4 linked regions of the Arabidopsis thaliana genome follow. The protein of the gene in region 4 interacts with the protein of the main gene of each other region in a pairwise test. Each region holds a gene or a part of one and is shown on either strand. Other genes may lie near its edges.

Region 1 (6,813 bases), 1.9 Mb from region 4:
TTTTAAAATTGGAATGTCACTAAAATATCGTCAATTTAACTAAAAAAGGCTGTTTTAGATAATAACGAGTGTGCAGACAATAATCTTTGGATTCTAAATTTAACGAAGAAGATAAGTCTATCTGTGACGTCTGGAAATCCCAATCCGACGGTGTGAATCTTTAACGAAAGCCTGAAACCCCAACGTGACTTTATGTGGACTACTACTAGCTTGAACAAACATTTGGAGATGTTAAAAAATTTCGAAGTAGAGATTTATCGTTTATGAATATCTTTAATTGTAAGATGAAAACAACGTTGTATAAGTTTTTTTTATCACTAATACTAGTACTTATCATTGTATTAGTTTTTTTTAATAATAAATTTCAGTGGATATACACAATATTATGTCGGTTTGTCCTGCCCTCCACAGGCCACGCCATAGATTGTATGTAGATGGTTCGTCATTATGTGAAAATTTGACTGATACACATAATAAATACTGAATGCATGACACATGGGTAGGATGGGGTCATTGTCGGTTTCGGCCTGAAATGTACAATTATTGGCTTTTGCTTTGCAAAACCATCACTCCATCGTCCCATAACTACTATAGTACTATTTCTAGTCTTATTTTGGTAAAACTAGGTGTTGTGTGTTTTTTATTGGTATGATGAGTCACTAGACTTTTCTTTGGTAAAATTTTACTTTATCTGTAGTTGGAGATCGAGAGTCAATGGTTGAGATGATCGTCGAACAATATAAAAATCATAAAGATTGTAGAAAGATTTAAAATATTAACATATATTAGTTTTAGTAATATTTATATATATTATTTACATTTATTTTTATTTTAGATTAGGAAATCTCATAATATATATATATATATATATATAAGAGAGAATATATCTTATAAAGTTATTTTTATGAGAATCTATTATAATTCTTTATTCTCATCCAACTTATCAAGTTATGTAGTAAAGGTGTTTTATAAGAACTAAAAAGTGTCAAGAAACACAATTAAACATGGAACGATCGACCATATTTTCTTGTAATAACAGACTTTTACAAATACATTTTTTATTTTATTTTCAACTGGTGTTTTTCCGGTCCGGTGATGTGTTTAAATGTCGTCTATTTGGCTAAAGAACACGTCGTCAAAATAAGCTTTTAAAAGTTTCATTCATGTTTAATCATTTTCTGTTTAAGAAGAACAGAAAAATCGTATTTACTGTTTAAAATTTTTGTCGGTGTCTGAAAGGCTACATGATTATATACTTTTCCCTTATTTTCGGTAAAAACTTGATAATTAGGCACCGAAATGCCACATGCAACATATTATATGTACACCGAACACGTGTGAGCATAAAGTACATTGGTATAAATACATTACGATATAGCTACTCATACTTATTAAGGACCTCTCTATACGTGTAAGAAATTGCAGTATATTTCCTGAAACATGGTGAAAAATGAATGCCTCAAGTCTGAAATGAAAATGACAGTGATGTAGACGTGGAAAAGTATTAAGAGTGATTTTTTATCAATTAACTTTGATTCACAAAACTTATGATTAAGTTTCAAACGTAAAATGTAAAATGTAAAATGCTACACAATTTATGATGGATATGAAGAACAGTTGTCAAAGACTCAAAGTAGCTTATTTAAACTACTAAAACCACATATGATTAAATGGGGTTGGGTTTGGGCCGAATCGGGCTTGTTGCTTGTTCTATACACTATTCAAAGCCATTTGGATAAAACATCCATCTTCGTCACAACTGTTTGTTAAACATCCATTTGGTGGTGTGTCACGTCCTTCCATCTGATCAACAATGGGTTTGTAGTCTTCTGGCAGACCCCCGAGAATGTAATCAACTTGATCTTCATGGTCAATGATTTTGCCAATTAATGCCAACTGATCAAATCGATTGATAAAGCCTTGAACGTACTCGTCGATGGTGCGGGTGTCTTTCTTCCATTGTTTGATTTGGTGTTGGAGCTGTTTGATATGGCCACGACTCGGTTTGGCATAGGTACCAGCAAGAGTGGCCCAAACATCAGCAGAGGTAGCGGCGCGGGACACCGTTGGTTGGACGGTGAGAGAGAGAGTGCCGATGAGAGCACTGAAGATCAATTGATCTTGTCTACTCCAGGCTTCATACTCAGGATTCACAGAGGCAACGTCGTTGACGGTAATCTCACGAGCTGGAGCAGCTTTTGTCGCATCAAGGTATTGAGTGAGACCGTAGCCGTGAAGGAGAGCGTGGACTTGGCGGCTCCACATTATGTAATTGGAGGCCGTAAGTTTTGTCACATTCGACATGTTCATGTGAACAATGGAGGTGTTGTTGAGGTTGACGGTTTCAGAAGAAACATTCGACATGGTTGAAGTTTGAAAAACAGAGGAATAAAAAAATCAACGGGGGAGAAGAAGAAAGAAAGGAGAGAGGCGGCTGTTTTTAGGTTTTTTATTTTTAGGTATCGATGATGCTCTGATACCATATAAAGAATATAGAATTGGATGATTTGTATTGAGATGATTTACATTGTTTATATACAGACTAGATGTTCTAGAGACTTCTAATTACAGAATATATAGTTTACATAAGTAGAATTGTGATTGATCTTGATTGATCCTTGATAGATTCGTCACAACTGTTCTCACTACATACTTCTGCGTGTTAGAAAAAGCTAAGCTCAACCAATTAAATGGCTGAGTCTTTTCACAAAATCTTAGTTAACAGTTCGGACACAAATCTATCTTCGGTATTTTTAGTTTGCCAAAAAAAAAAAGTTTCCTATATCATTAACAATCCGTTAAAAATTGTCGATTGATAATTTTAACATTTCTAGCTAAACTAGTCAATTCGTATTTTGTAGTAAACCAATCTCCAGATCATTGCTACTCACATCATCATCGTCTTGTACTTCAGCATGGACGGTTTCGTCTTCCGAATGGCTTTTGTCGGCTGCAGCGGAGGTAAGTTCCTCTGCCCGCTTCACTTGATGAGACCAGTCCGTACGGATTAACGTATAAAGCATCATTACCAAACACGTCATCTGCGCAGATAACAGTCCAAACCATAGCCCACGAAACCCAACCTTAAACCCAAACGTGGTCGTAACTGCCACAGGCAAGCCCACAATGTAGAATGCGCATAGGTTAACGCGTGCTCCATCTTTAGGCCTAGCCGTCCCAGTCAAGACTCCGCAAGCAGCCGTCTGTGGCGAGTTTCCAATCTCGCAAAGCCCCAAGATCGGAAGCGCAGCCGAAATAAGCCCGAGAATCTCCGGTTCGTCCGTGAACATCTTTCCCCAAACCGACCTAAGCGCGGTCACAAAAACAGCAGCTGCTAAACCGTACGCTACCGCGAGTATCAAGCCAATCACGGTCGTACATTGTGCCCGTGTTGGTTGGCCGCCTCCAAGAGCGTGACCTACACGGGTTGCAATGGCGCTGCTAATAGCAAACGGGACTACGTATAGTATCCCGGTGGTCTGAATCAATATTCCCATGGCGGCCACGCTTGCTTTAGGGTTCCCAAGAAGCCCACAAAGAAAAAGCATGATCTCATACCACCAATACTCCAAACACACCGAGATAGCGCTTGGTGCGGCTAGAGAAAGCAGCGGCCACCAGCCGCGGAAAAGTGACCGCAAAGCGAGCCCTTCCCACGGTTTGATTAGAGAATCCGAGAAGCACGTATAAACGAGCAGTCCCACGTCGATATTCATAGTGTTGAAAGCCATTGCGATGGCCACACCCTTAACGCCTAAACGCATACGCACGACAAAGACGTAGTTGAAGAGAGGATGAAGAAGAATGGATACAATGGCAGATATCGTGAGCGGTGATGTTAAGCCTTGCGTTCTAAGGAACGTTCGAAGCGGATGGAGCATGGCCTGAGCCAAGAGCTCAGGGACGAAGAAGAGCATATAGGTTTTGGCTACCTTGGTAATATCTGGGTCCTGACCCAACCGTAGGAAAATGGGTTCGATGTTGAGCCACGTAACGGCGATTGGAACAGAGACGACAATTAAGAGACAGAACATTTTCTGAAACGTGTGGCTAAGTACGGTCCAACGTTTGGCTCCGAAGGCTTGGCCACAGATTGGGTCCATACCAACGGAAAGGCCTTTAAGTACGGAGACTCCAGTGATGTTTCCAAAGCCCATAGCGAGTGCACCACCAGCGAGTTCGACTTTTCCGAGATGACTCAAGAACCACATTGAGATTATTGATCTTGAGAATATGAGGAGTGATGTCATCACAATCGGGCAAGCTATTTTTGTGAGTGACGCCATCTCCTCTCCCACCTGCATGGGAAAAATAAAATTAAAAAATTATGTTATTTTTGTTAGGTTTTTCAATTGAACAACTCTTTATTTTTTCACATGTTCTATAGGCTTCTAGTTCTAGCAAAACGCACTCGAGAAGATATTAGTGTATAGAAAGAGCGCAACACGAGTATGTTGTATATTAAAAAAAAAAAAATTATCCTCAAAATATGATTTAGTCTTTAATATCCTTTTTTAATCATGTTTAATATTTTGTACGTGATTTAATTTCGTTTAATTAACGATATTGCACTCACTAAAAATATTAAATTTTCTGGTATATCATTTATTAATATTTTTATCACAATAAACAAACAAATTTCTTTTCTAATAAGTTGTATGAAAATGGTATTTATATGAGCTTTTTATACATGAGTTATTAAAAAAATCATTGTACCTTAATTGTTTCTTTTTGTCAAATAAAATCTTAAATTAATTTTATTGTGAAACAGAAGGACATTACATTACAATACGGAAAATGATATTTTATCATATTATAAAATTAAGAACAATTTGTAAGCACGAGGAAGATGGTCGCATCACATGGCCACTGGGACTGGGATGAGAAAGTTGAAAAAGGAAGAGAAAAAGGTTTAAACTCTATAACTTTTAGAACTGAATATATAATCAAATTCACAAGTGCCAGAAAAGCGAATGGCTAACTGTACCAACATTCTAGGATCTTTTTAAATAAAAATCATCATGGGTTTTTAAAAGCTCACCTTTTTTGTTTTCTTTTTGAAAAAACAAAATCAGCTTAGATATTACCTTTCATTTCATGATATCTTCATTAAGAATATCCACATTTTAAAAACATATAAAAAATATTTTACGCATAGATACTTGTAAAAGTATCATGAACTACTATTGACATTTCATAAACAATCGGATAAGGATTTCAAGAAAATAAATCGGAAAGTAACTAGATTATATTTGTACTAAGTAAAGAAACTGATAAAAAGAATAGAGTGAGAGGAAACCTATATAGAACACTTTCCTAAGTAAGTACAACCCAACTGTCAAGAAATATAAAGTAAGTACAACACAAAAAGCATCTCTTTCAGTCCATGAAAGTGAGGATTTATCATACTAGTAGTAAGTAGTAACGCTTTAGGCATAAATATGAACATATATACACATATATATATATATATATATATACAGAGAAAACTTATATATAAATGAATTTTCAACATTGTATTTCTCAAGTACGTGAAAGATAGATGAAGCATTATTCATGCTATGTTTTTAAAAGGGATGCATTATATTCGGTTAAAATGCTATAAAAACAGTCAAAAGAAGCATTCAATCCAGTATAAGATCAATTTCCAAGAACTACATATTATTTACCAGACCCAAAAAATACTGCGAAAGTGACTGAAAACAATATAATAATCCATCAAAAATCACCAAATTCTCTGGTTAAACGTAGCAAACGTCTCTATATTAGGATGGTCCTGATCACGAAAACTAGTAGTACAAACAAAAACACAAGAAAACTATGAAATCAAAGAATAAGCAGAGTGATGACTTGTCAAAGCTAATTGGAATTTTTTTGTTGAAGAAAATGTAAGAACAAGAAAAGAGAAATTAAAGAAAAAGAAACAAGCCTCATTGAAAGGGATGCGACGGAGACCAGCAGAGAATTTGGCGCTGCCGCTATTTTCTCCTTTGACGGATGTTGAAACATCGCATTCTCCATTTATAATCTCTCCAGATTCACTGCTTTCCATGTTAGACCTGCACATGCTCATATATATTTGTATATACTATATACTATATATCACACTTCTTCACTTATATCAAAGAGATTTATATGTTGGTGACTACGAAAAAAGGGTTGCCATAGAAGCTAGCTACGAGTTTGTGTGTGTGAGAGAGACAGTGAGAGAGAAGAAGAATGTCTTAAGTTCCCCTCGTATTTATGTACGCTTCCTTAGTCGTCCACTCTAATTAATTTCATATTTACTCGTCTTTTCCTTATTTTTTTGAACTATTTTTTTTTTTTTTTTTTTAAAGTTTTTTTTATTGGGAACATCTGTTTCTTCGTTTATATATGTAGCCAGTTGAGTTTTTGTATTAATAAAAAATTCCACATAGTCAGTCTCTTAGACTGAACCAATTTACTAAAGTGTTGCCTTTATACATTCTACTTATAGAAAGCCTTGTTGACACTTATAGTAAAAAAACAAATATAATACTATGAGTTTACACTTATAGTAAAAGTAATAATATAATTGCCAACTCTTGCCTTTCATTATATTCTTCTCTTTGAGATTAACGGTTGAATATTTGTTTCATGTATATAACTTTTTTACAGATGCTGATTATAATTTTCTTCTTTAATTCATATTGCTTTGACTATCATTTTAGGTATTAATGTGTAGATGATATCCGGGATCTAGTGATTACTATATAATTTGTGTTTGGATCTTACAAGTATCCTAGGAATGAAATACTAATGTGGGGTATATGCTTTTGTATAATTTGGGAG
Region 2 (8,415 bases), on a different chromosome or scaffold from region 4:
AAGAAACTTGATGCGAGTGTTTGGTCCTTGAATCTTTTACAATAGTATGCATCGTTGACGATTTCATGTTTATCAAAGTGAGTGGTAGGTTAAGGAAGACTAATTTAGATGTACGACCGTTGATTATAATTTTTTCATGTATAAATGTTGATACACAATTGGTGGTGCAAATTGAAATTACAAATGTGTGCAACTTAGTCAAATGCTTAGTTGGTAGATAAAGAGATGTCTCTTGGTGCTATGTCAGAACCTCTATTGGACCAGACAAGAGAGCATGGCGTGGATATTTATATTTGAAGTCGATAATTCGTTACCCTTTTGGGCTTTATATACGATTCCCTCTTCTTTACAATAAGTGGTTGGATGATTGTTTAATATTTCTAAAATTTCAGATTAGAAAAAAAAAAAAAAAAGAGAATTCAAAAACAATTTAAAGAATAAAACACTATACATCTACCAGCTATGAGGAGTCCATAACTAAGATATAGAGTAATATGTTGGATCTGTGTCAAAACAAATATTTTTTCTCAGATCATTCTTTAAGTACAATCTGACCATCATTCTTGACGTATATAATATGTGCAGAGTTCTTGGGATTCACTAACGTTGTCATCATGGCATATTCATGAAATATGTCGACAGATTAAATCCGCTTAAGATCATATTTTATAGCTATAGTCAAATATTTAAGATCCATTGTCTACAATAAAAGATGACATTATCTTTTATGGGGTATCAGATCGGCCATAGGCACATTATTAGCTATCAGCCTCCGACCAAAAAAACCAAGGCATTGAATGGATGTATATAACTATATAACTTTACAGCTTTTGGTTTATAGATGAGACGTTTACACTGGGGTAAGGATGAAGTGAAAACGAAAAAAAAAAACATTAGACCTAAAAAAAAACAAGAAAGAGAATGAATATACTTTATAGATTGTATAAACGACATCAACCCGTGATCGTTACGTCTAGGACCAGCCAGATGAATATACTTTATAGATTGTATTTTTTACTTACGTCCAAAAAATCTTATCTTATGTGTTTTAGAAATTGACTAGGTTTAATCCCCATCATATCCATAGGCCCCTTTTATAATGCACATGTGAGATTCTTAATGATCACCATTTAAACTTTCTCCGCGTTTACACAAATTACGTATCTTAAATAACTAACACTCAACTAAAGCCTTTGATGAATATTATTATTATGCTACTTATACACGACAAGAAATTGTCCTAACTACCTACTTGTTGCGAATGAAGCAAGCAAATATGTATTAAGATAATTTATGTTTATGCCTAATTATTATCTTAATCAACAAACTATAATTTACAAAATTGTTTTGTGTGACTGTTGCTCTCTCGGACAACACTCGTTTATTTCGCATCAATTATTCTCATTCTTATGTGACTCACTCAAAACCAAATAAGATGGACCACTTCGAGCCTTGTTTCTGTTATATATTCGTCCACAGGCTACACTGAAAGCGATGCGGTCATAGCCCATTCTCTCGTCGCTTTCATGTTTGTTCTCCAAACCTTTTTTTTTCTCCTTGATTGTGCTACTGCTTTGGCTTCTTTCAATTCTTAGATATTTTTAATTTTATTTTCAGCTATAACTTCATTTAATATGGCTAAATAGTTTTCTTGGTTTAGAGTCTTTAGACTAAGGAATAATTTCATGACCATATTTTTAACTTTTCGATTTTCGAAAGATTCAGTTTAGGCCTAACTCAGTTTGCCAACTTGTGTAGTGTGTGAACAATTTACACAAAAATCAAACTCTGCAAGGTCATTTTTCCAAAATTTTGATTATTAAAAAAATAAAAAAAAAGATGAGGATAACTGACATGTCAGTTTTGTGGTGTCCCTTGTTTTGTCTTTGATTAATGTATGGTTCATTTCATACGAGACCCTCTGTTTTGGCAAACCTATAACGGGTTTTCTCTTATAAGTTCTAAGATGAGAAAGTACTACATTGAGATATAATTACTCAATTACATACTGTACTTAGTCGTAATAATAGTCGGTGATTATCCTTTTAAACTTTCTATGGACCGAAATGTTCCAGAAAAAAAATGCAATAGTTTAGACTTTTAACTTTATTTTATTAGCTTTTCTTCATGTAAACCAAAAATAACCCAAAAGCAAGCGGTAATAATTATTCTGTCCCCCATGAATTGCTTTTACTTTAGTGAATGAAGTAGATTTTAAATGCGAAAATATGGCTGCTGCTGCTCATTTACAGTTTTACACTAATGAATAAATATGATCAAGAATCATTGATTCTACACCTTGTCCCATGTCAAGTCTAGTCAAAAGCTTATTTTATCAACTCCGGCTCTTTAAGATTCTCTCTCTCTCTCTCTCCTTCACCATCTCAGAGATTGCTCCACTATCTCATAGATTTGGTGACCAGAACAACTTATCTCTTGAGTGGTTCAACCTCTATCTCTCTCTCTTTCTGCCATGAAAATGCAAAGCCAAATGTAATAGTTAGAGAGGGAGAAACCAAGAACTGAAAGACCATGACTTCCAACAGAAGCAACCTCCTGTTCTCATTAGTCCTCTTCCACTTTCTTTTTGTCCCCACACAACTCCAAGCTCTTAACACTGATGGTGTTCTTCTGCTTACTTTCAAATACTCCATCCTCACTGACCCTCTCTCTGTTCTACGCAATTGGAACTATGATGATGCAACACCATGCTTGTGGACAGGTGTCACATGTACAGAGCTTGGGAAGCCTAACACACCAGACATGTTCAGAGTCACAAGCTTGGTACTTCCCAACAAACACCTTTTGGGTTCCATCACTCCGGACTTGTTCTCGATTCCATATCTAAGGATCTTGGATCTGTCTAGCAATTTCTTCAACGGGTCACTCCCGGACTCGGTGTTCAACGCCACTGAGCTTCAGAGTATCTCCCTTGGAAGCAACAATCTCTCTGGTGATTTGCCCAAGAGTGTCAACAGTGTGACTAATCTCCAGCTCTTGAATCTCTCAGCTAACGCATTTACTGGCGAAATTCCGCTCAACATCTCACTTCTGAAGAATCTAACGGTCGTTTCCTTGTCAAAAAACACCTTTTCAGGTGATATTCCAAGTGGTTTCGAAGCAGCACAGATTCTTGATCTTTCTTCAAATCTTCTCAACGGCTCTCTTCCCAAGGATTTGGGAGGAAAAAGCCTGCATTACTTGAACTTATCACACAACAAAGTCCTCGGCGAGATTTCTCCAAATTTTGCAGAGAAGTTTCCAGCAAATGCCACAGTCGATCTCTCCTTTAACAACCTCACAGGCCCAATCCCAAGTTCCCTTTCTTTACTTAACCAAAAGGCTGAGTCTTTTTCCGGTAACCAAGAGCTTTGTGGGAAGCCATTGAAGATCCTTTGTTCAATTCCTTCCACTCTTTCAAACCCTCCAAATATCTCTGAAACTACTTCACCAGCAATAGCAGTTAAACCAAGAAGTACAGCTCCAATAAACCCTTTGACAGAAAAACCAAATCAGACAGGAAAAAGCAAGCTAAAGCCAAGCACCATTGCCGCAATCACAGTTGCAGATATAGTTGGTCTAGCTTTCATTGGTCTACTCGTGCTCTACGTATACCAAGTCAGGAAACGCAGAAGGTACCCAGAATCTAGCAAATTTAGCTTCTTCAAGTTCTGTCTGGAGAAAAACGAAGCCAAGAAATCGAAACCAAGCACCACTGAGGTCACAGTCCCAGAATCACCAGAGGCCAAAACGACATGCGGTTCATGCATTATCTTGACCGGAGGAAGGTACGACGAGACATCGACATCAGAGAGCGACGTAGAGAATCAACAAACCGTTCAGGCATTCACTCGAACAGATGGTGGGCAACTGAAGCAGAGCTCCCAAACTCAATTGGTTACAGTCGACGGCGAGACTCGGCTAGATCTAGACACTCTGCTAAAGGCATCTGCTTACATATTGGGAACCACCGGAACCGGGATCGTGTATAAGGCGGTGCTGGAGAACGGCACGGCATTCGCGGTGAGGCGGATCGAGACGGAGAGCTGTGCGGCTGCGAAACCCAAGGAATTCGAGAGGGAGGTTCGTGCCATCGCTAAGCTTCGTCACCCAAATCTCGTCAGAATTCGTGGGTTCTGCTGGGGAGACGACGAGAAACTTCTCATTTCCGATTATGTTCCCAATGGCAGCCTCCTCTGTTTCTTCACCGCCAGTAAGTTCCTCTGTTTCTGTAAGCGCACGAAAAAAAAAACACAGTATCATATCTAAAATACGCAAGTCATTTGGTACACATTAGCACTCTAAAATACGCATCACTGTTTTTTTGTCCTTCACAAACAGCTAAGGCAAGCTCAAGCTCATCTTCTTCGTCGTCATTACAAAACCCTCTTACTTTTGAAGCACGGCTCAAGATAGCAAGAGGAATGGCTAGAGGACTATCTTACATCAATGAGAAGAAACAAGTGCACGGTAACATCAAGCCCAATAACATTCTCTTGAACGCTGAGAATGAGCCCATCATCACCGATTTAGGGCTAGACCGCCTCATGACACCAGCGCGTGAATCTCACACCACTGGACCAACTTCGAGCTCACCGTACCAGCCACCGGAATGGTCCACAAGCCTGAAACCAAACCCTAAATGGGACGTTTACTCCTTTGGCGTCATACTTTTAGAACTTCTCACAAGCAAAGTGTTCTCGGTAGATCATGATATAGATCAGTTCTCAAACTTATCCGACTCTGCAGCGGAAGAGAATGGCCGGTTCTTGAGGTTAATCGACGGTGCAATTAGGAGTGATGTCGCTCGCCATGAGGATGCTGCAATGGCGTGCTTTAGGTTAGGGATTGAATGTGTCTCTTCCTTGCCTCAGAAGCGACCATCCATGAAAGAATTGGTGCAAGTGTTGGAGAAAATTTGTGTTTTAGTTTGATTTCTTAATTCGTATAGCCTAAGTCGTTTTGGCAATATAGAAAGTTATGTGTTATGTATGTTTTAGATGTGTTGCTTAATGCTTACTTTACCCTCGCATAATACTAACTCTTACTTTAGAGTTTAGAATGTGTTTCACTGTTTTGTTATGTTATATCACAACCAAAAAGCTATATAAAAATTAGAATCTTAACCGATGAAGCCAATTAAACCAACACAACGGGAATCACTTAAAATTAACTCGGTCTAACTTCCTAACCAAACTTTTAAACAGACCGACCCAAACCGGACCAAGATTCTAGTGTCCACGCCTCAACATCATCTTCTCCGATCAACTCTGATGCTCACCCCACCAAACTTTACTTTCTATTCAGACAAGACATCTCGATAGCTTATTTCTATGGTCTGATCACACGATAGTGTATTCTGATATCATCACTCTACCAAAGAGATACCAAATTATGGAAGGAGGATCTATCACTCCCGGTGAAGATAAACCGGAGATCCAATCTCCAATTCCACCAAATCAGATCTTCATACTCTCTGGACAAAGCAATATGGCAGGACGCGGCGGCGTCTTCAAAGACCACCACAACAATCGCTGGGTGTGGGATAAAATCCTTCCACCGGAATGCGCACCAAACTCATCGATCCTCCGCCTGTCCGCAGATCTCCGGTGGGAAGAAGCACACGAGCCACTACACGTTGACATTGACACAGGTAAAGTGTGTGGAGTAGGTCCAGGAATGGCGTTCGCTAACGCGGTGAAGAATCGCCTGGAAACAGATTCGGCTGTGATCGGGTTGGTGCCGTGCGCTTCCGGTGGAACGGCGATAAAAGAGTGGGAGCGTGGAAGCCACTTGTACGAGAGGATGGTCAAGAGAACGGAGGAGAGTAGGAAATGCGGCGGAGAGATCAAGGCGGTGTTGTGGTATCAAGGAGAGAGTGACGTGTTGGACATCCATGACGCCGAGAGCTACGGGAACAATATGGATCGTTTGATTAAGAACCTCCGTCATGATCTCAACCTTCCTTCTCTTCCCATTATTCAGGTCTCTCTATCCTTTGTGCGATTTTAGCTTCCAATGTCACATCTACATAGGTTGTGACGTTGTGTTATTGGTGAAAGAGTTAAGTTGCAGATTATGTAATTTTAGGCTTTTACAATGTACATATCAGTTGTTGCAAGTGATTTTGTCTTTTAGAAATCGGTAGGTCAGATTTCCATTGGTTAATCTTGATGGTTTTGATTGAAGCAGGTGGCAATAGCATCGGGAGGAGGATACATAGATAAGGTGAGAGAAGCACAGTTGGGACTGAAACTGTCGAATGTGGTCTGTGTAGATGCTAAGGGATTGCCGCTAAAGTCCGACAATCTTCACTTAACCACCGAGGCTCAAGTCCAGCTTGGTCTCTCCTTAGCTCAAGCTTACCTTTCCAACTTCTGCTAGACAATCAAGTAAGTTCGTGATAAGGTTCATGAATCTTTCTGAATGTGTGTGGTGGACTAGTTATATGGATATCACAAAACTTTGTAATAATGGATTGGTAAAACATTGATGTTCATAGTGAAGAACAATTAGTTTGCTCTAGATACTGGTGGATTCTGAAATCGATCTAAAATATTATTAGCAGCTCTGTTTTAGTCCTTCGTTCATTATAACTCTAGGATCAATTGAAGTTACGAATAATGATATCGTTGCACTCCACTATACATAAGTATATTTCATAGACTAGAAAGTCAAATAAAACCATAGAGAAGTTTAATGTTGTATTGGTGATGGATAATTGTTTTTGTCAGGTTGACGATCGGGTATTGGTGAGAAATTGTGGTATTTTCAGTGTGTTCTAGCAGTTTAATGTTTGTTTGTCTACATCTCCCAAGAGGTGATATGCAGTCTAAGTGATGGACGATGGTACTGATTATATGTAAATTTGTTATCCATGTAGAGCACACATAATATTCTTTCCGTTTGTCACATTATTATCTACATTGCAACTACTAATAGACATGGCCGATAACTTTCCTACGGATTAGTCATTCATGGTTCAAGTTTTTTTCTCATAAAAAGAAACACAAATCATAATAAAGATGTAGACAAAGTTATCATAATCGATCAAGACGTTAAAAAGAAAACACTAAAAAACGAAAAAAAGAAAAAGAAAGCTAGTTAGGGTTTTGATTCATGGGCTCATTCAAAAGCCCATTGATTCTCCTTACGAACAGCTTCTTCTTCCTCAGGTGTAAAATCATTCTCAATGTTGAAAGTTGAACGAATCTCCTCTGGAGTCTTGCCTTTGATCATGTCCGCAACAGTTTGGCATGTGAGATCAAGCAAGCTTTTTATGTTGAGGTAATTCGCAGCAAGGATGAGTTCAAAGATGGTGGATTGTTCGAGATCCATGAACTTCTCGTCCCAGTTGTTGAGATCCTCTTCAGAGATAGGATTAGCCTCGTCGACGTGGTGTTTCTTGCAGTACTCGATCACTTTCACAAGAATCTTGCTTTCCACGTTTGCAAGAGGGATTCCATCAGCAACGCAATCGTCTTCAACCATATGCGCTATGGTCTGCGATTGGATTGCTACCGCTTCTTCCACCTCAAACGACTGACCATCGGAGCTCATCAACACGATCATCTTCGAAGACATTGTGTGTTCCTTGTGGAGGAGGTTTTTCACTGTGAAGCAAATTTGATGAAAGATTTAAGAATTTAGAGAGCGAACAAATTGTGTTAAGGTGATGAAGTTGTGAAACCCTATGCGTCTTTGTATTTATAAGCCCTAGCTAGAGTCGGTGACAACAACATATTATAATTCAACGCGTGGTACACTACGGACAAATATTTTATTTATATATATAATAATTTTAAATTTTATAATTTTATATTTAGTAATAAAGTTATATAATTTTATATTAATCTTGTAATTAAAAAAATTAGTGATGATAAAATAATAAAATAAATATTTTACCTGTGTTATATCAATCCAAACCCGTCTCGATGTATTTCCTATCAATCCAAACCCGTTCTGCTATACTTCCCGTCTCATGATATTTTAATTTTTTATGTTTAAATATTAATAATGTTTCATAAAGGTAAAATATATCACTAATATTCTTTAAAAATAATAATTGTTTTTGACTTTAATGTGATGACATTCTTTGTAAATTCTTACTTTACTAACACAAAAGTACTTTAAAAAGTACTTCAAAAATTTTAATATATATAATGTTATTTTTTGGTAAAAATTATTATAAATAAATATTTAATTTAATCATAATTTGGGATTGATATACTTGTGTTTTTAACTAACTATTTTTTATTTTAATAACCTAAATTTAGGCATTTGTTAATATTTTTTGAATCTGCAATATCAACTTAATACATGTACAATTTATTTTTGCCAAAAAAGAGCAAAATTATTTAGTACAATTGAAACGAAAAATGTTGATTGAGAAATAATTAGGGTTTCAAATTTTAT
Region 3 (7,777 bases), on a different chromosome or scaffold from region 4:
GCATATATTTTATATCTTAATGATGTGTTCTTTGTTTGCATATATTATCAACTTATTGATGTTGTCTTTAGCCTATATTATTATCTTATTGATGTGTTCTTTGTTTGAATATGTTATTATTATATTATCTTATATTGATACGTTCTTTGTTTGCATATATAATCATCTTATTGATTTGTTCTTAGTTTGCATATATTCTCATCTTATTGATTTGTTCTTTGATTGCATAGCATATATCATCATCTTATTGATATGTTATTTAATTTGTTTGCATATGTTATTATACTATTGATATTTTGTTGATACATTCTTTTTTTGGTTGTTGTGCTTCTTGCATTCAGACGCTTGCATATCTCAAGACGATAGATTTGAGCTTCTCCAATAATTTAGTAGAAGTTCCGGATCTTTCAAAGGCAATAAGTCTCGAGACATTGTGTCTAGAAGGTTGCCAAAGTTTGGCGGAGCTTCCTTCCTCTGTCTTGAATCTTCATAGACTAAAATGGTTGAGGCTGACTATGTGTGAAAAGCTAGAAGTTATACCGCTTCACATCAATTTGGCATCTCTTGAGGTCCTTGACATGGAAGGATGCTTAAAATTGAAAAGTTTTCCAGATATTTCGAAGAACATCGAAAGAATCTTTATGAAAAACACAGGGATAGAAGAAATACCTCCATCAATTAGTCAATGGTCTCGCCTTGAATCCCTTGATATTAGTGGCTGCCTAAACCTCAAGATATTTTCACATGTCCCCAAGAGTGTAGTGTATATATACCTAACGGATAGCGGTATTGAAAGGCTTCCAGATTGTATCAAAGATCTCACTTGGCTACACTACTTATACGTCGATAATTGTAGAAAACTTGTGTCACTGCCAGAGCTTCCAAGTTCGATCAAGATTCTATCAGCAATAAATTGTGAATCACTTGAGAGAATATCTTCATCTTTCGACTGTCCAAATGCGAAAGTCGAGTTCAGCAAATCCATGAATTTCGATGGAGAAGCACGACGAGTAATCACGCAGCAATGGGTTTACAAGAGAGCATGCTTACCTGGCAAAGAGGTTCCTCTGGAGTTCAGTCACCGTGCCAGAGGAGGTTCCTTGACCATCCATCTAGAAGATGAAAATGTTTGTTCTTCATCTTTAAGATTTAAGGCTTGCATCCTACTTTTCCCAAGCGAAAGGAACAATATTTGTACTGTATATTGTCGTCTCATAGGTGAAAGTGGTCGTCTCATCGCAGCACATAGATTTGGTGGAGTTGTCAAGGACTTTGTCACACCGCATCTGTTTATATTTAACTCAGTCTTACTTGAAGAAGTGGATGTGATACGGTTTGGATTCAGCAGCATACACCACGAGATTACGGAATGTGGTGTACAAATATTGACAGATGCATAAGCATTCGGGAGCTATCAGGAACTTCTACAAGATGTCGGAGCGTTCGAAAATGAAAAAAAGTACTTATGTTAAAAGTTTAACTTCATTTCAAACTATATCCACTAAAATACTCGCACGTTATGTTGTGTTATTAGTGCTTCATTATTGGTTTTATTTTGTTCAACAATAACAACTAATAATTGTGGTGTCAAGTTTACGCTTAAGCCTTTGATTTGTTCTTGCAAACCCCGTACGTGTGATGTTGACAGAGATCGGTAAGGTTTAAGACTAATTTTCAATTCAAGATTTATCAAAACTTCTTTTAATAGTGACTATTGTAGATAAAATTGCTCGAGCCAAAGTGTTAATATAAACAACAGAAAACAGTGAAAAGGTGAAGGAACACGTGTTAATTAAGCAGGGCACATCATGGTACGTACGAACGGAAGGTAATGAAGTTTTTTGAGGTAAAAAACGTCAAACCTCAAAGGTCTTAGTATTTGTTAACAACAAAGGAAACAAAACATAATGTGTCTCACTCCTTATCCCCTCCCCACCTATCTTCTTCGATCGGGCTTACTTTCACTACACCCAAATATATTCGTGGCTAATTCTAATTGTTGATTCTTTATTCTACTTTTACCCAAAAAAACTAAAAAAATTGTTGGCGAAAAAAAACAAAATTTTGTTATTAAGACTTACCATTTCTCATTGACTAATCTTACCGGAACATAGATAATTTTGCATTCAATTTTTTTATAATATATCTACGCAATATATTCAGGGCTAATAATAATATATCTTTAAGATAGTCATGCAAAATTCTCTTGCAATCGTACGTAGTTATTATCAAATACAATGGCTTCAAGCATGAAATTAGGCAACTTACTTTCATCACCGATCACCATTTTTTTTGTTTTTTGTTAATAATTAATTCTATGCCACATTTTTTCTGATCTGAATGATACAAATTTTATAATATTTTATCAGTAGTAATTTGAAACTGTGTATATGATGTTTCTTTCATTTTAAACCTCATTAAACATACTAACTGCTTATTCCACTGCCAACATGTAAACATTAGTTTGGATTCAATTGAATGAAAATGAGAATCATATATTTCCATTTAAAGGTTTCTGAAAGTATGAGCTTAAAGCTTTAGTTGTTGTGAAAGATAATTAAGGTGGGAGAAAAGAAGCGAGAAGCCACAAGGACACTAATATGATGCCTATTTTGTATGGGTACACATGCACATGCTTGCACATGTGTTCCGGCCAATTAGCTCTTGTTTTTCCATGTGGTTCGGTATCTCTATATACACTCATGCACCCAATATATATTACACGTCATGGTCATTAGCCATCGCATCCATATAAGTCTTCATCATCCAATCCACGATTCCACTCCCTTCAATAATGCAAAATCTTCAACAGTTTTGTGTTTCATAAAGTTTTACATTCTGTCCTTGTCCAATGAAGACACTTACATAAATGTATAAGTTTTAAAACAAAAGCAAATCATTGAGACATAAATGGAGATAGTATATATGAAGAACAAAAAGAAAAGAGAAGGAAAAACTGTTAGTGTAGGCCTTCTTCGCATTTGACAATAATTTGATCGACATTAGGTGAAATGACGTTCTTGCCCACCAAGTCATGAGCCTTCAAGGACTCTTTGTTCCAATCTGTGTTATAAACAACGGTCAAAATGGAGATTGCACAAGCTAGCTGTGCCCCAAGCAAGCCATAGCATAGGCCCATGAAGCCTAAACCCCACACAAACGCTAAAACAACCGCCACTGGTGCTCCAACTACATAGAAGGCGTAGAAATTAATCTTGGCCCCTATACCTGGCCTCGCACTGCCACGTAAGATTCCACAGCTAATGGTCTGAGGACAGTTGGCAAGCTCACAAGCTCCAATCACCGGAATAACCGCCGCCGTCAGCTCGAGGACAACTTTGTCGGCGGTGAAAACTTTTCCCCAAGCTTCTCTCCCCACGGTGGTCCCCACAAGTCCAAACACTGACACTGCCACGGCGGCTCCGACAGCCACAGTCGCCGCTGTTTTTGCTTTCTCTGGCCGTCCTGCTCCTAACTCGTTGCTTACCCTCGTGGATACCGCGGCCGAGAGGGCCGTTGGGATTGTATACATCAATGAGGTTGTTTGTATCACGATGGCGGCTGCTGCTAGCGCCACCTTCGGCTCGGGGAGATATCCAGCGAGGACCGTCATGAACTCGTACCACCACCACTCCAAGCAAACCGCTATACAGCTCGGAACAGCGAATTTAACCAGCGTTGACCACACATCATTTTCACCGGAGTCTCTCGAACCATACAGCATCAACGGCGTATCAAGACAAAGAGACTTGGAAGTGGTTTTGTCGTTGTTGTTGTTTTCCAAGTAGATGTAGCAAAGGAGAAGCGACAAAGAGATGAAGTTGGTAAGAAAAGAAGAGACGGCGACTCCGGGAACTCCGAGAGAGATGTAAAACGTGAAGAAAGCAGTAATGGGAAGATGAAGAAGGACGGAGACTAACGTGCACCACATCAAAGGCCAAGTGGTGCCTTTACAACGTAAGTAAATACGTAAAGGATGAAGGAAACTATTAGCGAGAAGATCAGGCAAAGAGAAGGAACAATAGAGAGATGCGACACGAGTGATATCATGTTGTTGGCGGAGCATCAGCATTAGAGGCGCGAGGTTTAGCCAAAGGAGTGATATGGGAAGAGAAGCTAAGAGAAGGAGGAAGATGGTTCGCTTGAGGGTTAAGGAAGCGAGTGAAGGGTTTTTAGAACCGATGGCTTGACCACATAATGGTTCCATACCGGTGGCTAAACCAGAGAGGACGGAGTAACCGGTGATGTTGGTGAAACCGATGGCTAAGGCTCCTCCTGCGAGCTCAAGGCTACCGAGTCGTCCCATACACACGACGGATGTCATGTTCTTTAGGTAGTTTAATATGCTCATGGCGGCCACCGGAAAACTTATGTCCCAAATTCTCTTCAGCTCCTCCACCACCTTTTTAAATATTTTAAATAAAAAAATAATAATTATAAGAGAGGAGATATTTGAAAGACTCTATCTGAGGAAGAAGTTTACTAAGAATAGAAGTTTTAGATTTAATTTAGTACCTCGGGCATTGTCGGGTTGTACTTGTGTTGGAGATTTATGAGACGTGAATCTTCTTCGACCACCATTGTTAGTGTTTGTTTATTGAGATGAGAGATTTAAAAAATATGAAGAGAAGATGCCATTTTATAAAGAAATTTTATTTGTTTTGTTTTGTAACATGGAGTTGGGTTTGGCATGGTGGGGGTTCCCAAAATATTGATGTCATTATTTGTTATCCATTTTTCTTTGTGTGGACTCTAATATATACAAGTATAAATACAAACTAAGTATAGTTTGAGAAAAATATAGGATATTAAGTTCAAGATTTAATCGTATATCTCTTATACTATCAAAGTTCGAGATTTTTTTATTTTTTTATTATAGTACGACTCTCAATATCCTACATTTTTATTAAACAACATATTTCTTTATTTTTGGTCAGAATTAAACAAAAGAATGTATTGACCTAAAAGAAGTACGAATCCAAACCTGATTTTGTCGTACAAAAGCGTCACATAAACAAACGAAAGTATAGGCATGTGGAAATTTAAAACAACAAAAAAAAAAGAACAAAACTCAAATCAAATTTCTTCTCAAGATTCTGTTAGTACAAAGTTCCATTTATGATTATCTCTTTATTTAATCTTTGTTAAGAAAGTGAGTGTATATTTTCTTTGGTTATAAAAAAATCATGCATATAGGCAATCTAAATTAAACTAAAATAGTGTTCGGAACATACAATTGTTATCTAATCCATAGTAAATATGAATGCATCTCCGGTGAAACAGTATATATTTGGCCTAATAAATTTGTTAAGAAAGTGAGTGTATAGTTTCTTTGAGTATCGGAAAATCATATAGAGAATCTAAACTAGTGTTCGAACATACAATTGTTATCTTAAAAAATGCATTTACCATGAAATAATCTTTGTGTTGAAAAAATATTAACCAATAGATTACTAACACTTGATTTTAGATATCGAATTTGTATTTCTCCTGAGGAACTACTCTCTTTTTTTGTCCATGATAAAATGTAAGAAATTGAATATGTTAGTTATAAAGGCGTAAATATTATTATGAATATTTTTGAAACTTCGTGTGGTTTAAAAAGATGCATAGAACTAACAACAACCTTTCTAAAATAAAATGTGATAAAAGATATTTATGAAGCTCAAACTAACGATATTAGTAGAAAGTGATATGATTGGTCCATCAGTCTAGAAATGAAACTAGTTAGAATTAGGTATAGCGCAATGTGTTGTCTCCCTCTCACTGTAATTATCAACCCAAAATCGACTTGAAAATTATGTATACCTTTCCTTTAATTTTTTCCCTTTTCCTACTTATTCCCACTCCACTCCCTATAAACTAGTGACATTTTACATCTTGTCTCTGCTTACGTGGATAAATGATCATCATGACAATCGAAAACAATATATATATATATGTGTGTGTGAATTAGCTAGATAGCCCATGTGTGGTTTTAATAAAAATATGAGAAGTTTGATTACATATATTTTAACATTATAAACTACTGAAATACAAGATTGATGCTTTTTTTACCAGGATCTTATTTTATAAGTTCTATAGTGATGAATTATATCATATGAGTAGTGAATTTTTTTAATTTTCATATATTTAAATTATTATTGAAGTTATTTGGTTTATTTGATATATATATATATATATATATGCTAAATACACATATATAGAAATTGAGGAAAATGATTTTTAATTGAAAATACTATTATATATGTAAATCAGATTTTCATATCGATCGTTTTCATAGAATTTGCAAGCCGTTCCAATTGGTCGATATTTGGCCACAAGATATGATTTTCGCAGATGTATAAAATTTATACACATCTTCATACCGTCAATTTTCACACACATGAATCATGATTCATGCATGCTTTCATACGATTTCATGTGTAGTTCTATATAAAGATGTATAAATAATCTTCAAAATCTGTAAATACGAGCAGAAGAAAGTTGTGTAAATCGTGGGGGAAACTAAGTACTGAAAGAAAAAACATAGACAAGTAGTGAACTAGAAGTACCAATAGAGACAGAGTTGTGATGTTCCCATCACAAAGGAAACATATCCTCTCTCCTTTCGTCGCTTATATCTTCTTCTTCTCTTCTTTTGCTTTTTCCACACGTGGCTATTTTTACTTGCTTCCATCTCCACCGTTGATCTCGATGCCCTTTCAATCTACACGTAACATATGCATGGACATATGCCTAACCTATATCTATACTATGCATCGTCTAGTTCGTGTGGTATGAACTTTGTCTCCAATAGCAAGCCGTCGCTCTTCTTTTGCTTCCCCACTCATAGTTTACTATTCATTTTTTAATGTTTTCTAATATGCTTGCTGATAAAGATCCTTCCACTGATATTTTTGTAGCTGGTTTATACGAGATGCATAATTACTAAATAACTAGATTTTAACCCGTGGTACACCGTGGAGACAATTTATATTTTAAAATTAGTATATATAAAATTTTGCTATAAAATATTTTTATTTTATACTTTATATTTGTTATTAAGTAACGTCCTGCTAAATCGCGTCCCGCCAAACCCATCCTGTAAAAAAATCATTATTTTATTAATGTTAATCTTATTTATGATATATTTATGAATCATTGTCTAAATATTTTAGTTCATGTGGGACGTATAACTCACACATTTTTTGCCAATTGATTAATATATGTTTATTTTTAAAATTTCGAGTCACAAAATATGACGGAAAGAATTAAGATTTTTTAAAACTCTATATATTATATAATAATATTAAAAAATTATGATATATTAAACTTTTTATAAGTTTAAATATTAATAATGTTTTATAAAGTCTAGATATATAAATAATAATATTTAATTTTTTTATATTTTGAGCCTTTTAAGTAATGACATAATAATTCTAAAAGCAAGGATTTAGAAGATTTAATATTTTCATTCCTAAATAATTAATGTCAGTGTCATTACATTGTAAATAAGTTCAAATACATGATTTATTTATTTAAACAAAAAACGTTTAGTAAGAATAATATTTGTTTTAACAAAAAAATTTGTTTTAAAATATTGTTAACAAATATGTTTATGCTAATTTTAAGAGATTGATTTGAAGTTTGTTTGGATTAAATTTGATTGATAATGTGATTAACAATTTAAAGTAAAATTAATTATTTTGGAGAAAGATTTAATGCTAATGGCATTGAGTTGTAAATAAGTCCAAATCCACGATTTATTTGTTAAAATGGTTGCAAAAATGTATAT
Region 4 (9,166 bases):
TTGTGTAGCAGTAGGAGGGAACCCAATCCACAGAACCTTACTTGGCTGGACATCTCCTTTAAAGTCTTCATATGAGTGAGGATACTGTAAGAATATAACAAAACGTCAAAACCAGTAACCTATACATATCACTAGTAACAAGAGACATACTTTCAACATTCAAGACTAACCTGCGGTTTATGATTCATATTGCCATTTCTGTTATCGTAAGAGCCAGCCCATTGTTCCTGAAGATAACACAAAGGTAACTTGATTTCAGACTTAAGAAGTTGAGCCTACTCTACAATGAAATAGAGACGAGTAAATACTGCTCCTAGGGGCACAAGACAGAGCTCAGCCCTATCAGTTTGACGCAAATTATGAAACTAAACAAAATGTTTACTGGAGCGTTTTCAAAAGTAAAAATCAAATGCCACAAGAGTGCTTACTTTTTTTGGCGCTTGTGACCGGAGAAAATCAACACGCAAAAAGCTACCACCCATAGGCTTTCCATTCATGCTCTTAGCCTGTAAAGCATCATCCATCTCATAATAATCAATGAAAGCTGTCTTGCGTTCTCTGAGAAACCTAAAATCCTCGATTTTCCCAAACTTGCTGAACTCTTCCTCCAGGTCATCCTTGGAGACATTAGGGCCGATTCCACCCACCCATAGACTCTTACAAGGTTTTGCCTGCAACAAGAAAAGGTCGATAAGAAGGCGATACTACCCAGATAGGTTGCCAAGAATAAAGCATCAAACATCAAGGAAACTAAACACACAAACTAACTAGTAATTTCAACTACACTACGACACCAATTCATATCAATTGCTTTCCTAAACAAATAAAATTGCCGCAAGGAGAAACCATCTCCTCTTTCTCTATTAAATCAGTGTTAATAGTTTCTCTTGCCTAAACATCAGATTTTGTCTGTAGGAGAAGTATGTAGTCCCCAAAGCCGGAAAGACATTAATACTTTCTGCAAAACATTCCTGTCTTTATCCATTGCCTGAGTCCCAAATAAACCAATCCCTGAACACTCCATTTAAGTACTCAAAGCCGGCAAGACATTGAAATTTGAGTCTGCCTGCAAATGAATATTTGTCTTGTCCACTGCAACTGTACCAATCCCAGAATGGTTGTGAAGAAGTCAACTTCCTAAGGAACTACAATGGGAAAGCCCAGATTGTACGTAGGGATGGGAATTGAGGAACAAACATGGTTCTTCGAATAAAGCGTTTCTGATTGGTAGAGTTAGCCGCCTTAACAACCACGTAATTTGTCTTCCTGAAGCATCGAGCCAAAACAAGCCCAAAACTCCCTCACACTGATATGGATATGTGCCAGCGATACTAGGAGTTAGGACGATACGGTTGCCAGAATTTTCTGTTTCGCAGATGCAGTTATTGATATCTACGTACCGCCATAGACAAATTTCTCCACGCGGTTTGATTTTTGCAGGAAACTGAACTTTTAAACTCCAAAATTTCTTATCTGTTTGGCCGATGATAGAGTTTGCTCGCTTCCAAATTTTCACCATTGCGAATTTCGAGTGGAGTACGCAATACATTCATACTCAAGCTTGTGAGATTTAACATCTGAAGCGAACCTGAAATCAGACTGCTAAACGCGGATACAAGTTTGCAGATAAACGACAATCGGATTAAACCTTCTTCGCATAAACGAGAGTAAACATGTGTTTGATGTATTCTTTTGCAGAGCTCATTCGCTAAGAGTTATATATGCTTTAACATCAAATTTTGCAGAGCTTCTCTGTGGTTTGGCTTTGCGCGAGTTCGATATAACCAAAGTAATTTGAGAAAAGACGTTTCGATCGGATCAGGTTTCGCCTTAAGCTAACGACGTATAATAGAAAAAAACTAGGTTTCGACTTTGATTTGTACGATGAGGAAAAAAAAAACAGATTCAACAAGAAATTTTTGGACTAAACAAGCATCATCAAAGTTTTGTGAACCTGGACTATGAATTCGCAAAAAGAGTATAATCGTTGACAAAAGACAATCAAAGTTAGAGAACAAACGAAGATATAGATAAGAACAAACCGGTCGTGCGTATTCGATCTTAATTTGACTTCCATTCAAATTTGCTCCTTGAAGAGCCTCTTTGGCTGCGACTGCTTCCTCCACATGTCTGTAGTATATAAACGCAAAGCCTCGTGAAGAATACACCGTGATTCTATCAATATCGCCGTATCTTCCAAACAACTCGGTCAGATCTGACTCTGTCGTCTCCGGCGTTAGGCTACCGACCCAAAGATTGTTTGACTGGAAACCGGAATCATCGGCTCTGAATGGCTTCATAGATAACGCCATCGGGATTGTTTCAATTGACGATCCTATGGATCCAAAATTCCAATCCCAGAATTGATTGTTTTACCTTTGGGATTATGAGATTTCGATTATCCACGTGACGGAAAACGAGAGACGAATTGTGCGATGATACGTTGAGCAAGAAAAATTCGATGAGAGATTTGGGTGTTCAAAATCCTACCTACAGAGAGGAGAAGAGAACCCTAGATTGAGTTTGAAGACGAAGAAGATTAGATTGTGAGAGAAAGAGAGGCCAGGGAATATCGAAGCGGCGGCTTTTAAAGGATATATAAGGATACTTTCCTTTTTTTTCTTTTTTTTTTGGAAACCGGATCAAAACGGTGCATTTTGATAGTAGTTATGGCAAATTCGTAAATAATCATATATCCATCCCCTCTCAGTGAAGATTACATCCTGATAGCATAATGTTTGTACATAAGACATCTAATAACTGCAATTAGTCTCTGGGATTGTTGGTGTTCGTTTAGTGGAGGACTTTGGAAGCTTCACATGAACATTGGTTTAGATGAAGCATCAGAAACAGGTATCACCATCCTTTTAATAAATGTTAAGCATTCGACGAATATCCGGGCTAGGTGGTAGAGCTCAAGCTCGTATTGCTCGTAGATGAAGAAACCGGTGAATGAGAACGACATAACTGTCCAAGCAAAGCGTAGAGAAAATGTTATGGATAAAGAAGTTGTTAATCATGTTTATGAAGTTGTTAATCATGTTTATGAAGTGTGAAAACAAAAGCTTTGTTCGAGTACCTGTGAAAAGAAATGCTGCCAATGAACGGGATACAATCAGTTTGAGGAGATACAGTGATCCTGCAATCTGTTTTTATGTTTTGTTTTAGGAAACGAGAGCAATGAGATATTTTTCATGTTTGGTGAGCATAAAGAGTAGAATTGTACCTTGAAGAACTTGATCCAGTCTCCTCCACTGCTTAAGGATTTAAAACTGCGAACTCCTTGATTCCAGACAACTACGATATCACTACTAAGATCTCTCACAGCGGATTCGGAGATCTCAAATCTCCATGGGGGTATTTTGTTGACTTGAAACCCGAAACTGTCAAAATAAATCAATCTGTCACTTAGTTGCATATAGATTTCAAAGGTGAAATATATATACATGGGTGCATCATCCTTTGATAGGACAATTTTGGTATCACAACTTATTTTCACTGCCTTCTATAATGGTAAAGTTCTGGAACCAATACTTACATCTTTGACGGCACAAAAGAGACTCCATAGAGAGCAACAGCAAATATAAACAGAAGTTGGGCTGCAGATGAAGTAAATGTGTTTCCAGAAAAGAAGAACCAGTAATAAAACAAGTTTAGGACAAGAAAAGAAACGAAGGTTTTCTTCTCATTTCTCCACAGCAAGATGTCTGCAACTGCATGAGAACATAGAGATGAAAAGCTAAGTCAGTTTAAAGAGATTAATATTAAAAGCTTGCATTGACCAGATTCGCTTTGAGTTTGTTTATATGTGCATGAAATAAAGTTGGAACTCGCATGAAATTACATGGACTGGAAGAAGATGTAAATTAACCAAGCAGATACTTCAGCATGTTCTAGACATCTAGAAGCAAACAAATCTAAGTTGAAAATAGAGATAGATTCTTTCCAGGTTAAGCCTTGTGAACATGCATCATCATATCCATAGCTAGATGAGATGCGGACTTCAAGCAATACAACTGAATACTTAGCCAAGAACACTTCAAAAAGGCATTATAATTGTTAATAGCGAGATGGTTCTAACCTTTCCCACAACCAAGAAGCTGATCTGCAGTAGATTGAATGATTGTGTCATCAGACTTCTCAAGATCCCGAGAGAACCATTGAAGCGTTGATGCAATACCATCCTACAAATCCAACAAGAGCTAATAAATCCAAGGAAGGTACTAAGCAGCTGAATATGCAAAAAGCCAAAATACTATCCAACAAACTCACTTCAAGTGTCACAACAGGTGTGTAACCAAGATGCTTCTTAGCTGCATTGCAGTTAAAAGTTCTCGTTGATGAAGCTAACAGAGCATACTGATGTGCTGTGTCATAATTACTCCCAAGGCCCTCCTTTTCATGTGTCCACTTAAGAAGTGAGAAAACATACAAAACCAGCCGAACAGGAAGTTTAATGGATGGTCTGCAATTAAAGAGGAAAAAAAAATATCAAAACAGGTAAACCAGAAAGTTAGCTCTAAGGATCTAAAACTTTTCAAAATGATCAATATTTAAGACATAGGAGAAGGAAACATATACGACCATGTATAAAATACTAAATATCAGCGAATCACCATGTATAGATAGTTTATATCTAAAAAAACTAATTGAATATGGCTGTTCTCGAAACGGTTCTTCTAGACATGTCTCCAGGACATCTATCAACAGAAAATTAAGATCTTTTGCTTTAAGAAGGGAACATTCAAGGTAGGTTCAGAAGTTCTGAGGAGCCTTTTTCCCATGCTACATTGATAATCAGGAAACAGAAAGATAAAAGGAGTTCACAGCAAGTTTCATTGTATCAAAAACTGTTCGGATGCTTATTTACCTTGGGTATCCCAGACCTTCAACTATATGGCTTACAAAGTCCCAAAATCTGACCGGCTTGAGGTTTGTGATAAAAAATTCCTACATAAAGTCGGCACAGTAAAAATTCATCACATATAAAGTTCATGCGCTTTCAGGAGTGATTTGGCAAATACACTTTGACTCAAAGAGGTTACCTTTCCAGCCACAAACTCCATCTGTGAATCTAATGCTTTAACGGCGCAAATATGTGCATGAGAAACGTTCTCCGAGTAAGTGAAATCAGAGATATTTTCACCACTCCCGAGTATAAACTGAAATTTTAAAAACTAAGACAGTCATTCCTCCAAAAAAGGAAAACTAAGAATGCATCAAGCTCAAGGAATACTACCAGGTATAATAAGATAATAAACGTAGACGCAAAAACGCAACAATGGGATGAACTAATAGTAAGACCTTTGCATATCCGGACTTGGCTAGATTCACCAAAAAAGGTACAAACTCTGTGTCACCAGGTCCAAATACAATGCTAGAGCGAAGTGCACAAGTTAAGAGACCATCTCGGTTGTTAGCCAATTTGATCAACGCTTCTGCTTGAGCTTTGAAGTCTGTCAACATAGATTGGAACTGCAAGAGAATCAGAGCAAAACAGATATCATCTCTGAAAAAGACCAACGACAAAAACCAACTAAACAAACATGCTCAAGGATTACCTTCAAAGGACGTCTCAAGGATTCATCACCATCACGTATAGGTTGGGAACCATCAAAAACAACATCAGCTGTACTGTTGTAGATAAGTTTTCTGACTCCAGATTCACGACAGGCAGAAATCACATTTCTTGTACCTATACGAGAAATCGATTAACCACCCAAGTTTAACTAATATAATGGTAAACCATCTTGAAGTGACTAAGAACTTTACCTTGAACTATAACCTTGTAGCAGTCAAAGTAATCATGGGAACGTAAATCAGTAGCTCCCATGTAAAATACAACATAGGAACCCTCGGTAACTGCAAGGAACAAAACAGTCACACCAAAACTCAAATCAGAACCCGAAAATCTCAAATAGCCAAACACTCCCCCATAGCATTTTCTAGATACCAAAAACCGATCCATCAATGTCATATCTAACAAAGTGCAACAGGAAATAAGAGGAAAACCTTTAACGATCTGAGGTTTATCACGAACATCGACGCAGTGATAAGAAGCGCGGCCGGAGGAGAGAGCATCCTCGAGGAGCGAATCGGATTCATCAAGATGGAGAGTGTGACCGGAATCTGCGACTCGGACTGTCCAGTTTCCGAGACGAAGCAATCTGGAGACAAGCGATCGACCAATGAACCCTCGTCCGCCGAGGACGACACATGTCTTGAGGTGAGAATCGCCATGGACGGAATCTTCGTCCATTGTTATCGCCGAATTAAACCCCAGCTCTATCGCCTTTTCTCGGTCGAGTCAACTCAGAGAAAAAGGCCGAGTCGAGTTGGATCAGTGCACAAAAAGCTGAATACTAGGGGTTGCTTGGCGGGCAGACTCTCCACTCGCGCAACCTTTTAGCGTTTTCCTTTATTCTTCGGCTGTGTAATTATAATTTAATATTCACACTTTTTTGCCATAAATCTATGGATTTGACTTAATTTATGTAAATTATCTGTATAATTATTCCTTGGTTACAAACAAATCTAGTAAAGCTAATATTAAATCGTAGACGCACGGTTGCGTTTTCACGTTTGGTGAGCCAATTCCATCAATCCACCAAACATATGATTTCCATTGTTAGAAATTTGGTAAGCACTTGTAGAGAGAAACTAAACCGTATCTATCTATACACTTGTGTATGTATGTTGAAGCATTCATTACACTTGAAAATCTCATAATTTAATAATTGAGTTTAAACTAAATATTTAGATTTTTTTGTGTTGAATACACAACTTCAAATGATAACTGAAGAAAGCCCAAAACATATAAAATATTGATCTTTGCAGCTGATGATTGACTTGCAAATTTTTCTATACAAATAAGAAAATATACCCAAGTTTTCAGAAACGATCTCTGGCTCTCTGTATACGACGCAATGCTTCAGCTTCGGTTGCTGAGTCTGGAATGCTTAAAGATTTTCGGATATCTTTGCTCGATATTCTGAGGAATGGGTTACACGCTTTCTCAACCTTGACAGTCGTTGGAATCTACAGACAACAAATCCGTAAGTAAATGAAATCTAGAGAGAGGTTTAGAGAGAAAGAGGAGATAGGGAAGAGATAAGAGGTTTTACCGATGGGAGCCCCTGGCTGCGAAGATGGGCGACTCGAGTTGCATAGGACTGAAGAGTTTCATTCTTTGGTTCTACGGATAGAGCAAACTTGAGATTGCCCTGTATCATGGAGGAGATATAAAAGAGAGTTGAACAATGTGAATTAAGAGTATTTATGTGCGTGGAACTTACTGCTGTGTTTTCACGGCCGCAGTATATATTTGTATCGTCTGGTAGAGACACGATCTTTTGGAGTGATGAAAGCATCTGAGTCATAAGGCAAAAAAGGTTTTCTCGTTAAAAAGGACAGAGCACAATAAGTTTGCTTCTGTGAAAGAAACTACAATGTACGGTTATTAGAGTACTCCCAAGTCCCAAGTGATCTCTCCATAAAGTCTATACCATTTGACTCAGCACAGTTTGCCACAAGAAAGTAACCATAACAGTAAAAAGATATGAAGGTTGAAAAAGAAACATGATTTAGAAAACCACAAATCACTTGGCACAATTTTTGCCACAAGAAAATAATCATAACAGTGCAAGGGTCGAGAAGGTTGAAATATTGCTTTTTGAAATTGATGTTACCTGCTCAGGGGTACCTTCTGAAAGGGTACCACAGGATAAGCTATATATCAGGTCTCCTGTGAATATTGTCGCTGACCCGGGAAAGTAGAAGCTAATATGGCCTGCTTGAGAATAAGTACAGTTAAGTGATAAAACATGGCACCAAGTATACATTAATTACTAGTTGTACTACACTAGAACGATAAAAAAGGAGAGCAGTTACACAGTAATGTATTGAGGATAACAAATTAGAATGACAAATAAGATACTAATATGTGATCCACCAAAGGTTTCTAACGTTGGCAATATTTGACTGTATAGATGTGTTCTTAGTATTTTACAGTAGAGGTTATGGCAGCTACAAACCTTGTGTATGGCCAGGAGTGTCAAGTATCCGAACCTCATGGCCAGCAAACATCCACTTATCACTATCCTTCAGAAGTATGTCAATTCCAGGAATCCGATCTTTATCTACAGCTGATCCAATCACCTGTCGGCAACATAAGTCACATAAAAACACTTGAGTATATATAAAAGAAGCAAAAACGAAAAGAACAACTCGACAAAGGTGCAAAACAAAAAGGTCCAAAAAACCATTTTTTCTGGTAAGACTAATACTTTACGACATCTCAAAACCAAACCATTGTATTGTAGAGCTCAATGTTTCACAGCTATCAGAGGCAAGAGACACTCCAAGGAAACAAAATAAAAAGAGGGCTAACTTGCGCAAAGAGCAGAAACAACACAAGAAACAAGGTCATACAGTTTTAAACAGAAAATAGTATCCTCTTACCTTTGCGCCATACCTTTCTTTCAATTCAGCATTCCCCCCAATGTGATCATCATGATGATGAGTATTCAAAATGTAAGTTAAATTCCAATTCTTCCTGCTCAATGCTTCTATAACAGGTGCAGCCTCAGAAGGATCAACGACTCCAACTGTTCCGGTGTCTTCATCGTGCAACAGATAAGCATAGTTGTCCTTACTGCAGGGCACCTGAAACATCTCAGTAAAATAGATCGTTAATAATATCTTCAGCAGATTGTTACAGAGTTGTTTCAACCAGTAGATTCAAGATGAAAAGCATACTAACCAGTTCGATTTTTAATGAGGATGGCATGTTGGAAATGCTACAAAAGTGAGTAATCTTAAGAGTTTTTCTAGCTCCACGCAATGTTTTCAGTGGCATGGATAATAACCACATTACTCCGTATAATAAGCTTTTCCTGAGGCAAAGTTGTCTCAAACCAGGCCACACACAAAGCTGACCTCCAATCTGTTTCATGAAATTCAATCAACAAATCATAATCTGACACAAAATAGTACTATAAGATAGCCAAACAAAGACTACTAAACACAGTTGACAAAAAAAAAAAACCCATAGAAGCTTATAATAGATAATTCAACCGCCAGTTTCACCAAACCAGTCAATAGCAGATAGTAATTGAGCCTTATGATCGAATCAGTAACACTAGCACACATTCAAAGGAATCCACAG

What was found.
Region 1: the proteins of AT2G43420 (region 4) and AT2G38510 interact in a protein complementation assay, tested with the Arabidopsis thaliana proteins (one large-scale study listed by BioGRID).
Region 2: the proteins of AT2G43420 (region 4) and AT4G34220 interact in a protein complementation assay, tested with the Arabidopsis thaliana proteins (one large-scale study listed by BioGRID).
Region 3: the proteins of AT2G43420 (region 4) and AT5G49130 interact in a protein complementation assay, tested with the Arabidopsis thaliana proteins (one large-scale study listed by BioGRID).

The regions. Positions count from the first base shown.
Region 1 is NC_003071.7:16,121,476-16,128,288, reverse strand, and holds AT2G38510 (MATE efflux family protein), read right to left. Parts: upstream 4,305-6,813; coding exon 2,844-4,304; 3' UTR 2,754-2,843; downstream 1-2,753.
Region 2 is NC_003075.7:16,378,172-16,386,586, reverse strand, and holds AT4G34220 (Leucine-rich repeat protein kinase family protein), read left to right. Parts: upstream 1-2,118; 5' UTR 2,119-2,532; coding exon 2,533-4,213; intron 4,214-4,341; coding exon 4,342-4,934; 3' UTR 4,935-5,114; downstream 5,115-8,415. Other genes in the region: AT4G34215 (carbohydrate esterase, putative (DUF303)), read left to right, coding at 5,395-5,985, 6,193-6,384; SK11 (SKP1-like 11), read right to left, coding at 7,126-7,584.
Region 3 is NC_003076.8:19,912,708-19,920,484, reverse strand, and holds AT5G49130 (MATE efflux family protein), read right to left. Parts: upstream 4,614-7,777; 5' UTR 4,582-4,613; coding exon 4,516-4,581; exon of another isoform or gene 4,403-4,515; coding exon 2,960-4,402; 3' UTR 2,518-2,959; downstream 1-2,517. Other genes in the region: AT5G49140 (Disease resistance protein (TIR-NBS-LRR class) family), read left to right, coding at 342-1,400.
Region 4 is NC_003071.7:18,028,678-18,037,843, forward strand, and holds AT2G43420 (3-beta hydroxysteroid dehydrogenase/isomerase family protein), read right to left. Parts: upstream 6,506-9,166; 5' UTR 6,260-6,505; coding exon 6,013-6,259; intron 5,863-6,012; coding exon 5,773-5,862; intron 5,696-5,772; coding exon 5,562-5,695; intron 5,476-5,561; coding exon 5,305-5,475; intron 5,163-5,304; coding exon 5,046-5,162; intron 4,951-5,045; coding exon 4,871-4,950; intron 4,466-4,870; coding exon 4,273-4,465; intron 4,185-4,272; coding exon 4,082-4,184; intron 3,714-4,081; coding exon 3,539-3,713; intron 3,384-3,538; coding exon 3,227-3,383; intron 3,147-3,226; coding exon 3,080-3,146; intron 2,968-3,079; coding exon 2,816-2,967; 3' UTR 2,591-2,815; downstream 1-2,590. Other genes in the region: FPA (RNA binding protein), read right to left, coding at 1-84, 171-227, 429-671, 2,043-2,312; GLX2-1 (glyoxalase 2-1), read right to left, coding at 6,892-7,038, 7,125-7,223, 7,296-7,370, 7,689-7,789, 8,034-8,157, 8,461-8,664, 8,762-8,944.